Linked DNA regions of Oryzias latipes. The protein of the gene in region 3 purifies or fractionates together with the protein of the main gene of each other region. This does not show direct contact. Links are inferred from orthologs where the notes say so. Each region holds a gene or a part of one and is shown on either strand. Other genes may lie near its edges.

Evidence for each region.
Region 1: the proteins of ncoa6 (region 3) and paxip1 purify together in Homo sapiens (co-immunoprecipitation; 6 studies listed by BioGRID and IntAct, with this or other methods). This does not show direct contact. The link is inferred for Oryzias latipes from reciprocal best matches to the Homo sapiens genes NCOA6 and PAXIP1.
Region 2: the proteins of ncoa6 (region 3) and histone-lysine N-methyltransferase 2C purify together in Homo sapiens (co-immunoprecipitation; 7 studies listed by BioGRID and IntAct, with this or other methods). This does not show direct contact. The link is inferred for Oryzias latipes from reciprocal best matches to the Homo sapiens genes NCOA6 and KMT2C.

The regions. Positions count from the first base shown.
Region 1 is NC_019875.2:13,211,852-13,215,503, reverse strand, and holds part of paxip1 (PAX-interacting protein 1), read left to right. Parts: intron 1-1,935; coding exon 1,936-2,038; intron 2,039-2,126; coding exon 2,127-2,295; intron 2,296-3,203; coding exon 3,204-3,304; intron 3,305-3,608; coding exon 3,609-3,652.
Region 2 is NC_019875.2:25,341,768-25,346,161, reverse strand, and holds the start of histone-lysine N-methyltransferase 2C, read right to left. Parts: upstream 2,881-4,394; 5' UTR 2,462-2,880; exon of another isoform or gene 1,820-2,461; intron 1,662-1,819; 5' UTR 1,615-1,661; intron 1-1,614. UniProt on the Homo sapiens protein: Histone methyltransferase that catalyzes methyl group transfer from S-adenosyl-L-methionine to the epsilon-amino group of 'Lys-4' of histone H3 (H3K4).
Region 3 is NC_019865.2:14,781,427-14,785,078, forward strand, and holds part of ncoa6 (nuclear receptor coactivator 6), read left to right. Parts: coding exon 1-179; intron 180-266; coding exon 267-385; intron 386-532; coding exon 533-939; intron 940-1,037; coding exon 1,038-1,271; intron 1,272-1,376; coding exon 1,377-3,652. UniProt on the Homo sapiens protein: Nuclear receptor coactivator that directly binds nuclear receptors and stimulates the transcriptional activities in a hormone-dependent fashion. Coactivates expression in an agonist- and AF2-dependent manner.

The DNA.
Region 1 (3,652 bases), on a different chromosome or scaffold from region 3:
CACCCGTTTGATCGATCAGCAGTGAAACAAACAAAAACAATCAAACGAAAATTACAACAGAAATTCAAATGAACACTTATTTGCAGAAAGAAAATTGAAATATGTTCTACAATATTGGCATGTAGTGCAATTCATCCTCATAAATAATAGTTAACAGAACGAAATAATGTACAAAACTGACATTCCCGTCAGTGTGTCCGTCTGGCGGAGCAGATAGGTGCGGGCGTGCGGACGGACGGACAGACGTACTAATTGTCCACTGGGGAAAGTTGCTTTCATAGTAAAACCTTCTTCATCAGTTACGGAATTATGGTATTCATGCATATGCCTTTAGTTTGTTTTATTTTTGATGAAACAATGTATGGCGTATGTCTCAACCATTCAGAAAGCAACAAGAAATTACATTTGCGCTGAACAATTTCCCATTTCCACGTCGATTATTACCGACTTCTGCAGCTTGTCAGATGTAATTAAATGGAGGGAAATAAAATGCCCCATCACAATGCGTAATGACGCACAATGGCTGATCTTGCGCTCTTAGAAGATGTGGCAAATGGAAGAATTCAGAGAGAACGCATCTTTAGACAGCAAGAAGATTTGCTTATGAGTGGCTTATGAGCCGGTTCCGACTTCCTCGAGCCGTCCTCTTGGACCTCTGTGGGCTTTTGGGCCCGGCGTTACAGAGGAGCACTACCGGCCACGGTCCGAGGTTGTGAGGCTACAGCATTTACGGCGTCTGCCACAGTTTGCCACTCACGTGGCTTTTTGGCATTAGTAATGCCCACACTGTGCCCTCCAAACAAACACTTTTCTCCTCTTTTCCACCTCGCCAACAATAACTTCTACTTCACATTGAGTGAAGTTACGTTTTTTTGATTTTCTCTCCGTGTTTGGCATGGTTTTGCAATCAATGAATATTCATTCGTGGGCGTTTCACGGACTATTTATGGGGAACTATAGGCGTGTCATGAGGCCGCAAAAGCTGCGCTGCATTTAGAATTGGTTGTGATTTATTAAGGGAAAGATGCGTAGGATGTGCGTGCGCACGGTTTTATAAATCTGAATATTTCTGTGCGTACGCACGTCCTATGTTTTATCCGTACGCCACTTCTGACGCAAATCCTACGCAAAGTTTTATAAATGAGGCCCCAGATCCTTATGTTTTGCCTCTACTGAGGGCATTTCTTTTTGGTCTCTAGGTGGAGCTGACGCTACAGCATTACACTTTATTCTAGAAGATATGAGAAAAAAATTGGCTTTAGACCACAAATGGTTACTTTAAAAATGTTTCCTTAAAAAAAATTGGAAAAATTAATCCCAATAAATATGTGAAGCTGTTTATTAGACAGCAAGGTTTAGGTCAAACGAGCGCTAGCATTAGCCGTCCTATGGGATTTTCCATTATACCTTAGCATCAAGCTAGCAGACTTTCGCCTTACGGCTGTTTTGTGTTAGGTCATCTCTGCTTTTATGGATCGATTATTGATCTATAAAGCTTGGATCGATTCAGATTGATTAATCCCTTTATCAACCCAGCCCTACTTCGAAGTAGAGGTGGGATGCGACTCGTCCAGATGTTTTCTTGCACCAGAATTTTGTAGAAACCTTATAGACTTGACTGAGTTTAGTTTTGAGCTGTGAGCTCTGATGACCCCAGTCCTGTGTCAGTTGATGTCAGCGCTGCAAATGAGCTTCCACTGAAGTATAAAAATGGGGAAGGAGGAGGTAGGCCTCTCTAGCACCACAATTTAATGGTTTTAGGATTAGGTAGTAATCTAAAACTGTCTCAGACAGAACGGCGTCCATCCTGGGAACTGTCTGGATAATAAAGGACTCTGACTTTTCATCAATTTGTTTTATTATTATTTCCATTGAAGCACTTTGAGCTACTCAGTGTTTCAATACTTCACCCTTCCATTCTGTGATTGTGTACAGGTTGGAGGAAATACATTCCCCCAGTAAGAAACTCCCTCCAGAATCTACTCCACATGTTATTTTCACCGGCTTTGAGCCCCCACAGGTGCAGCAGCTCACAAAGGTTAGATCAACTTCCTCCCATCTAGACGTTTTTCCGTACGGAGTGATTTATTTTCTTATGTGTCGCGTTTTTGTTCAATGTTGTGCAGAGGCTTCACGCTCTCGGCGGGGAATTGGCTGAAAATAGCCTGAAAGCCACTCACCTGGTGGCGGTGAAGGTGACCCGCACCGTCAAGTTCCTCACTGCCATGTCGGTGGTCAAACACATAGTGAGCCCCGAGTGGTTGGAGGAGAGCTGGAGAAGCCAGAAGTTTGTAGGTAGGTGCATCGCATCCAGTTCAGAAAGCCATCTAATCAATATGAATTGAAATATCTCCCACCTCAAGGATAAAAAAAAAGTATGCGTTATGTGGGATTTTATTTTTAAGCCTGAATTCGAGCAAAACCTGAAGCAACGTCCTTTGAGAACTACTGACTGTGATGGGTGCAAAGACTTCCTAGTGATGGGATCGTATTTTACTTTTAGTGAAAAAATAGGACAATATGGAAAACAAAGCAAGAAATTTCCTAAAGGGAGTGAGAAGAAGTAAAAGCCGTATGAATTCTCCCCCCTAAATTATTTTTGCTAGTTTATTATACATTTTTATTCGATGTGAGGAATGCATGAATCTCTGCAGTTCTGCTTCACGAACACGCTCCTGAGTGCAATAAACGCCAGACTGGGCGGCAAAAACGCAACAAATGAAAGGATGACCTCAAATGACACAAAAAGCTATTATATTAAAAAGTATGTCCAAAACCTTTTCAGTAAATATTAAAAATCTTTATGCTTCAGCATTGAAACCTTTTCCTTCTGACATAAAATTAAGTTGTAGAATAGTATCTGCAGTCTAATAGCATGTAAACAACCCATATAAGCGTTTTGTTAGACAAAAAAGAACCTTGATGCGTTATTTGATCTTTTATTTTCTTCGACTAAATGACATGTATTGCCGTCATTAAATCTTTATTACATTCTGTTAGTCATCTAGCTTATGAAAAATATCTTTTGAAGATATTAAAATCTTAAATCATGTGGATAATATTAAATTACGATCATTTTCACTAATTTCCTACTTGTTTTGATTTCTTTGTGTTGCTCCTTAAGATGGCCTGGGTTTTGGTTTTCCATTAAAGGAGGAGGAAGTTGTGTTCAGCTGAACTGACTTTGTAAATGTCTCTTTCAGGTGAACAGGCTTTTATTCTGAAGGATGCTGAGGCAGAGGTGTTGTTCAACTTCAGTCTGGAGGAGTCTCTGAGGAAAGCCCACAGCGCTCCACTCTTCAAGGTGACACAAAAAATCAACTTTAGCTTAAAATACTCATTTCTTTCAAATTTCATTAACAACCGAATGTGCAGCTTTTTTAGGCTTCCCTTTAGTTAAAAGAAAATCCTTTTGCGCATTGTTTTAAAAGTAGATGAGCTTTAATTTGAAGGGAAAAGGAAGAATCATTGAAGAATCCACTTCATTGATTCAGGGAGAGTTTAGACTGGAGGATAGAAACAGTAAAGAGTGAAATGAATGAAGGTGAAACTGTCTGAGCGTGATGCGATGGTGCTATTGCTTGTCTTTGTGGTGATGGTTGATACAGGGAAAGTACTTCTACTTGACTCCGGGAGTCTGCCCCAGCTTCAG
Region 2 (4,394 bases), on a different chromosome or scaffold from region 3:
GGTTCAAATTGGTCTGTGTCCATTATACAATCATTCGTAGAGTACATTTCGTCAATTAAATAAGATGCAACAACATGAGCAGATTTCATCCTTAAGATCTGATTCCTTCCCAAGTGACAGTATGAGAACTAACATGTTTTTATATGATGGTCACCATACAGAAAAAAAGAAGAATTCAATCCTTGTCTGCAATTATATATACCTATTTTAATATTTTAGGTATATATTCTTGCTTTATTAAAGTAAAAAGGCACACTTTTTTGTTGTGGTCCTGAAGGTATTTTGCAAACAATTATTTTAATGGGAAAAAATTGTGTAGCTTTGGCAGGTGTCCATTTAGTATTTTCATCAGAGCTGCGTTAGAAAAGATTCCAGTTAAATAAAAATAAAAAAAACAGTAGAAGTAAAAGTAATAGTTTGTGTAGATATGTTTAACAGCTCGAGGCCAAATGGGTTACAAAAAACCCCAGTTTTTAGTAATTTCCTGGAACAAAAACCCTTCATTCACTCTAGGATTAAATAATTTCTTTATTTATGTCAATTCTGGCCTCCACTACAAGGTCTGCTCGGTCACATCCATTAGAAACACTTGTCAAAAGAAGGTTAACATGGAAAGAAAAAAAAATTCTATTTCATGTCAGTAAAAGCTCTGCTGGATATATGGGGCCACACTGGTTTTCAATGAGGAAACAAGAGGAGATCTGTGAGATTTGTAACATTACATGTATGTAACTGACTGTGCATGTCATATAAGGCTTGGGTAAGCAGCAGTCACGACCACCAGGGTACAATTGAAAACATGCCTTCCGATAGCTTTTGTCAAACCAAGCTTGGGCACAAAGCAGCTGCATAAAAGCTAGCGAGGGCTAGCGTGTTGTTTTAAACAATGTCGCCTTTTCTGCGGCAGATGAACCTAACATAGGCATTGTCAAAATTAGTCAAACTGAAAGTAGGCTGATGCCTACGTCAAACAATACAGTACAAAGGCAAAGGCATCAACTACTACTAGCGAGACTTAAAGGGGCTCGCAAAGCAAACAGGTTACCACTGGCTGTAGTTAGTTGGCAACTCACAGCAACTGGAGGCTGGGGTTAGATGCTAAACATAATGTCTCATGATGTTAATACCGACTTTAGGAAGATGGCGCTAAATATGTATTAATCATCATCAAAGCACCAATACTTATCGGTGTCCAACACACAAAGGTTCGGACTGTTCAATCCAGCGGAACTGTTTCGAGGAACTAACGATGCTTCACAAAAAGTGAATGATACGTTACACAACATACAAGGCTTTGGTTTACAGTCTACCTTTAACAATTGATGTCGGCTGTACACAACTGCCGATTGGCCGACTTGTGCAATAAATAAACGCGACAATAAGCCCATATATATATTTTTTGCCCTCCGAAGTCGGCGTTATGCAAAATATAATGAACCGTCCCGTTTTATGTTCCGTTCCGTTGAACAGTCTGAGTCATGAAAGCCAAGGCGGCGACAACCTCCCCCAACATCAGACTGAAGGATAATGTTGGCTCAGACTCTCATTTGAAAAGGCGAATTCTGGGTAAATATAGCCAACACAAACACAATGCAAGTGAGGGTTTTATCTTACCTTCCGGCCCTATGGACAGCGAATTATCCTCTTCATGTCCAAAAACACTGGGGAATAAAAACGTCGCACTTTTATCACACAGCTAGCTAGCAAGCTAACAAGGCTAGCTAGCTTCTCTCCAATGAAACAACACAGCCTTTCTCAAAAATGCACAGCGCATCTATAGCATTGTATTCCAGCGTTGCAATGTAATTCCAAACTTTACCCATTTGACGGGAAAGCAGCTGATGTAAATCCAACAGAAAACCGCTTCACTGGCAGGCGCATTTGTTGGGATCACTTTCCTTTCTCCAATGACAGCTGTCGTCGCACGAGTTCAGGTTATATAGCTAGTTGGCGTTAGCCACCCAAGTCTATGGCCAGCAATTTTTTTTTATCATTAACACAGACACACAAAGAAACCCCGAAATACACGCCACTGCAAGAGCCCCGGGAATAAAGCAATGTAACACAATCCTTTTTAAAGGTATAGCGTTGTGCAAAGCAAATGTTGGATGCCGACTGCTGGGTTGGCAACAACTGGTTCTATTTTCTTCAGCTGCGACAAGCTGCGGGACCAAGCGGCTAGTTAGAAGACTCTCGTAACCACTCTGCCACGCAGTAACAACTGGCTCCAAAAATATGGGAAAGCAAACACTAGTTTGCAAAAAACAACATTATGCCTGCCACGCGGAGCAAAACCCCAAATTCCCACGATTTATGACAAAATTAAGGGAAAGATGACGCCTCGGTGTAGTCTAAAAACGATGGCCATATCTAATGATAAGTGGCATCGAACCACATCCCCCTCCAGGCTCCTAACAATCTAGATCCACCACCTACTGACAGAACTTGAGCAAACAAATACCTAGTAATCCTCGTGACTCCTCAGGACGGTGCCACTTCAAAAACCCGTCAGATTTTAAACACGTTGATAGCACGACATGCAAGAAAACAGAGCGCAAACCGTTTTACATTCTGTTCAAAATACTCTCTGACCCTGCGGAGGGATACCAGCATTTAGTAAATAAAATAATGGCCAGGAAGTAGCCAAAAGACGGAAACTGGATTCTAGTCTTTTCGGGGGTGGGAGTGTCAACAGTTCAGTTTCCAGCCCCTGCAAACCTTCTCTAGCGACAAAGATCCTGCCGTCGTCGGATTTCTACAATTATAAATGACTAACTCTGGAATAGATGTTATATTTCATCCGCAACGGCTTTGGTAGTTTAGAAAAATAGCCGTAACTGCCCCCTCTCTGCCACCAAATTAAAGCGTCCCCTTTTAGACTCTCTCTCTCTCTGTCTCTCTCTCTCTCTCTCTCTGTGTCTCGCTCTCTCTCTCTCTCTCTCTCTCTCTCTCTCTCTCTCACACGCACGTACGCACGGGCGAAGACGCACACACAAATGCATACACACACGCACATACACAGCAGGCATGGCATTATTCATCGCCTATCAGGCAGACATACTGTACATGCAAGGGTTAACTTTGAGAAGAGTCCCCAGAGGTCGGCTTTCAGCGGCTGGATGGAACATCGTTATCCGTGGACTCAGCGTGCTTTTCATGCCCGCAACGATCCACCGCCTGACCGGCTTCCTTAGATAAGACACGACGAGTATCTCCAGGTGAAGCCATGAGGTAAAAGAAATGGACATAAACATAACCCCGTCCCTTCAAACTGTGCCCGGTTACCGCTTTACCAAACCGTGAGCTCCCCCTGGTGGCTGAGACCATACATTACTATTTTTGGTTGTATAATTTAAATGCCTCAAAGCATCAGGACAACAAATTGCAAAAAAAACTTTATTGACAAAAACATTGTACACTGTTGTTAGATTATTATATTTTTAAATTTGACTTTTAAATTCCAACCACTCCTGAGGAAGGAACAGCTTTCTGCCTCATCTTTGTAGTGGGATTTTTTAAACGCTTGCAGAATATACACAAAATACACCTTCTCAAGCTTTTGAAAATGTAAACTAAACACTGACTAAATCGAAAACTTGTATATGTGTATAAAAACAAATATTTTTGTAATGTCACTAATGGTTTATTGAATATTATGATGCTTAAAAAGGGGAAAGACATTTTAAGTGTACTTTACTTGTAATATCGGTGACATCAGTAATTTAGTCTGATCCAAAAGTTCTCAGAAGCTTATCAGCACCACTGATTGTTGAAGAATTCACCTGTCTTTTTTTGCATCAGATCTCAAAGGTCAGTAGGGTTTCTGACATCAACTGAGTTGGAGACATTGCACAATACCAGTGTCCTTTATTAAGTTTTGACCTTTCCGCTGGTGTGCATTTACACCACTAACCAGTATTGACCCAATTACTCTAAAAGGCTTGAGGCCGATGGTCAGAGTTGTAACATTCACACTCGTGCACATGACAAGCAAATGATGAGGCTAAATGGATAGTAAATTAAAGATGAGATTTTTAAATAATCATTTGAATAGTGTGAATGTTTTTGTAACCAAAGTAATTATGTGTTACAGAAGCTGAATGCAAATTAGAATAAATATTTACAGAGTTTTTTTTAATTACACGTTTAATCATATTAAAATGATTGGAAAAGGCTTCTTAAGTAGATATCTAGTTGTCAAACATTCAGTTAGTTTCAGACACAATTTATGTTCTTTTTACTTAAAAAGAAAAAGAAAAAACTTATTTTTTTACAGTATTTTATTAAATTTTTAAATAACAAAGCAGTCAGCACAGGGTAAACTCAATCAGTTACACAGGTTGTAGTAATGAGAAAGATTTTGAGTGACATGGACCTCACTTACCACCATATGT
Region 3 (3,652 bases):
ACACTGACTAGCCCACTGCTGGTCAACCTGCTGCAAAGTGACATATCTGCCAGCCAGTTTGGACCAGGAGGAAAGCAAGGTGCTGGTGGAGGAAATCCAGCTAAACCTAAAAAGAAGAAACCACCACGCAAGAAAAAACCCAAAGAGGGGGATGGACAACAACAAGTAGAGGGGCTTGGGTAAAACATGTTTTCTTCTTTCATCAGGTCCTGTGTCAACAGCATATTCTTTATTTAACCAAATAAACTTTTATTTTATCCTTATAGAGGTCTTGATGCTGCTGCTGGTATGGAAGATTCTGAATTGCCTAATCTGGGTGTGGACCAAGGTTTGGGTTTGGACAACGCTGGCCAGAAGCTTCCTGATTTTGCTAATAGACCTCCAGGTAGTCAAACTAACAAAACACTAAACTTAGTTCATTTCCTTGTTTTGTTGTTAAAACAACCAATATACTAAAATGCAAATGCTCTTTTGTTCTAAAAATTGTACATTTATCATAATTTATATCACTGATCTGTTTTATACTTCCAAGGGTTCCCTGGTCAACCTGGAGAGCAGAGGGTACTGCAACAAGCCCCCATGCAGTTTATACAACAACAACAGCAGCAGCAACAACAACAACAACAACAACAGATGCAGCACATGCAAATACAGCATCAAATTGCACAACAACAGCAGCAATTGCAACAACAACAGCAGCAAATGCAACAGCAACAACAACAACAGCAGCAGCAACAACAACAACAACAGCAGCAGCAGCAAATACAGCAACAACAATTGCAGCAACAGCAGCCGATGATGCAGATGCAGGGGCTCCAGAATGCTCAAGGATCACAGATGATGACAGGGCCACAAGCATCAGGTCAAGGTCAACCCCAGATGCACCCGCATCAGCTGCAGCAGCAGCAGCAATCTCAGCAGCCACACCTACAACAGCAGGTAGACTTTTGATTTGGTATTTTATCCTAGATTGTTTCTTTTAATTCAGGACGCACTTTAACCACCCGACTAAACTTTAATCTTAATTTCTTATCAAGCAACAGCAGCAGATGATGCTGATAAAAATGCAACAGGAGCAATCAAAAAATCGCATGCCCATCTCCACTGGAGGACAGCTTCCTCCTCGAGGAATGGGCAATCCTGCAGACATTCAAAGGCATCCCAGTTCACAGCAAAGCAGCATGCCTGTAATGATAAGCCTGCAAGGTCATGGCAGTGTACCACCATCCCCTGATAAACCCAGAGGGATGCCTCTGATGGTAAACCCACAGGTAAGGGGTGATTTTTAGTAGTACCATCATTTTCATATTCCCATCCCATCCTCTGATTCTCTTGGAGGAAATTTTAACGCAGATTATATTTCCTTAAATTTCTAGCTTGCAGGGGCTGCACGAAGAATGTCCCACCCTGATTTAGGGCCGGGGGCTCAAAGCTCTGGATCTGAGGAGGCTTCTGTAGGTGCCCACTCAAAACAAGACAGACAAGGGGGCTCAGAAATTGGTTTACAGCCAGGAAATGGGTCCCAACAAATTCCAACCAGCCAGGTCTCGAACACACACATGATAAAACAAGGGCCTGGTTCAACACAAATGCCTCAACACACAGGATCCAGTCCCCAACAGCAACTACCCACGCTGCCTCAACAAGCAGGGCACATGCCTGGCCATCATTTCCCCAATGTTCCTACAACTTCACAGAGTTCAAGGCCTAAAACTCCGAACAGAGCCAGCCCCAGACCTTACCACCATCCCCTCACTCCATCAAACCGTCCACCGAGCACTGAACCTTCTGAAATTAATCTTTCACCTGAGAGACTAAATGCTTCAATTGCTGGACTGTTTCCTCCAAAAATTAACATTCCTCTGCCTCCAAGGCAGCCAAACCTTAACAGGGGATTTGATCAGCAAGGGCTGAACCCAACAACTCTCAAAGCCATTGGACAGGCTCCACCCACCTTGACTTTAACAGGAAACAACGGCAACGGCAGCTCTGGTGGAAATAACACTAATAATCAGCAGTCTTTGTCCTCTGGTGTAGGAGTTTCAGGTACTAAACAGGAAAAAGTGTCTGGAGGGCAAAGTAAGAGGGCAAGTCCTAGCAATAGTCGGCGGTCAAGTCCAGCCTCTAGTCGCAAATCAGCCACACCAAGTCCAGGAAGACAGAAGGGGGCAAAAATGAGCATTGCATGCCCTCCCCACCAGCAGCAACTTGTCAGTCCTCAAGGGCAAGCAATGATTTTAAGCCCTTCTTCTATACCTCCAAGTCCAGTATCTATGATGTCACAAGTGAGTGGCAGTATGGAGGCACAACAGATGCAGAGTGCCTTGCAAGGTCCTCATGGAAATCCTGTTGATGGAGTCAGGGAAAATCAGGGGACAACTACTACAGAACAGCAACACACACCCCAGCCCCAGTCTCAGTCTTTAAGAGACTTATCAGCCTCAAGAATGACAAATGTTCATGCACCACGACAGCCCAAAGCTGACTTGGAGGGGCAGACTGGTAGTGTTGAAAGGCCATTGACACAACCGGTACCCACACATAACCCTGATATTTCATCATCTTTCAGAACAGCTCCAACTTCCCTCAACCAGTTACTGGATAACACGGCTATGTCAAACAAGCCTCTTCGCCCCTCAAAGAGTAATACTCCTGCTGGTGGAAAACACAGTCCCAAATCTACTTTGGAGTCAGATGCATCACTTCACAGTAATTCTCAGAACACAGAAAGGTCAATGAATGTTGCTACTACCACCGCTGCAAATGAAACTGAACAGAATCCCAAACCTCTTGTTCAAGTCCCCACTTGTAATCCAAACCTGCAGCAACTTACATCAGTTCCCAGCTCTCACTCTGCTAATAATGTAAATACCAATACTATTCTTAGCTTTACCCAAACTGCTAACTCTAGTCTTGTTAATCCTGATTCAAATGTAAATACCACATCTTCCCATTGCAACTCAGTTAGTACAAACACTAATGCAACCACAGGTGCAAGCCCTTGTACAGTCACTTCCAGTCATAACAGTTCTGCCTCAGCTATAAATGCTAGTTCCAACTCAAGCACTGCTCTAAACCCGCCCAGCTCTGCTCTTAAACCGAGCCCAAGTCCCAAACCCATGTCTAGCGTTCATTCTGTCATACAGATCCCTGCGTCTTCAACCACCATTTCCTCCAACCAGATTACAGTGTTTGTCACCTCCAATCCTATAACTTCTACCCCCACATCGATGGTGTCCACCATGATGGCTGCTGCCAACAAAAACTCAAGATCTCAGGATATCCGACAGCAGAGTCCTGGCCCTCGACCACCTCAGTTTATCACCACAACCCCAGTATTTATTAATCCAATATTCCAGGTTCCTGGCTCCTCTGTGGCTCCTAATAACTCAGTAGTATCTCAGTCAGTCACCATGGTAGGGTCTATCCAAATGCCTACTGGAAGCATCCAACTTTCTCCTGCCCTAAATTCCACACAGCCATCAGGGGTTAATATAGCTCCCTCTCAGCCCAATAGAACGCTTGCTGGACAGGTTCAGGTAGCTACTAATGCAGTATCCACAACTCCAGTTGGTGCTATCCTAGCTTCTCACCAAACCAACCCAGGAGCAACAAAAGCAGAAAGTCAAAATGAGACCACTTTGTCTCAGAA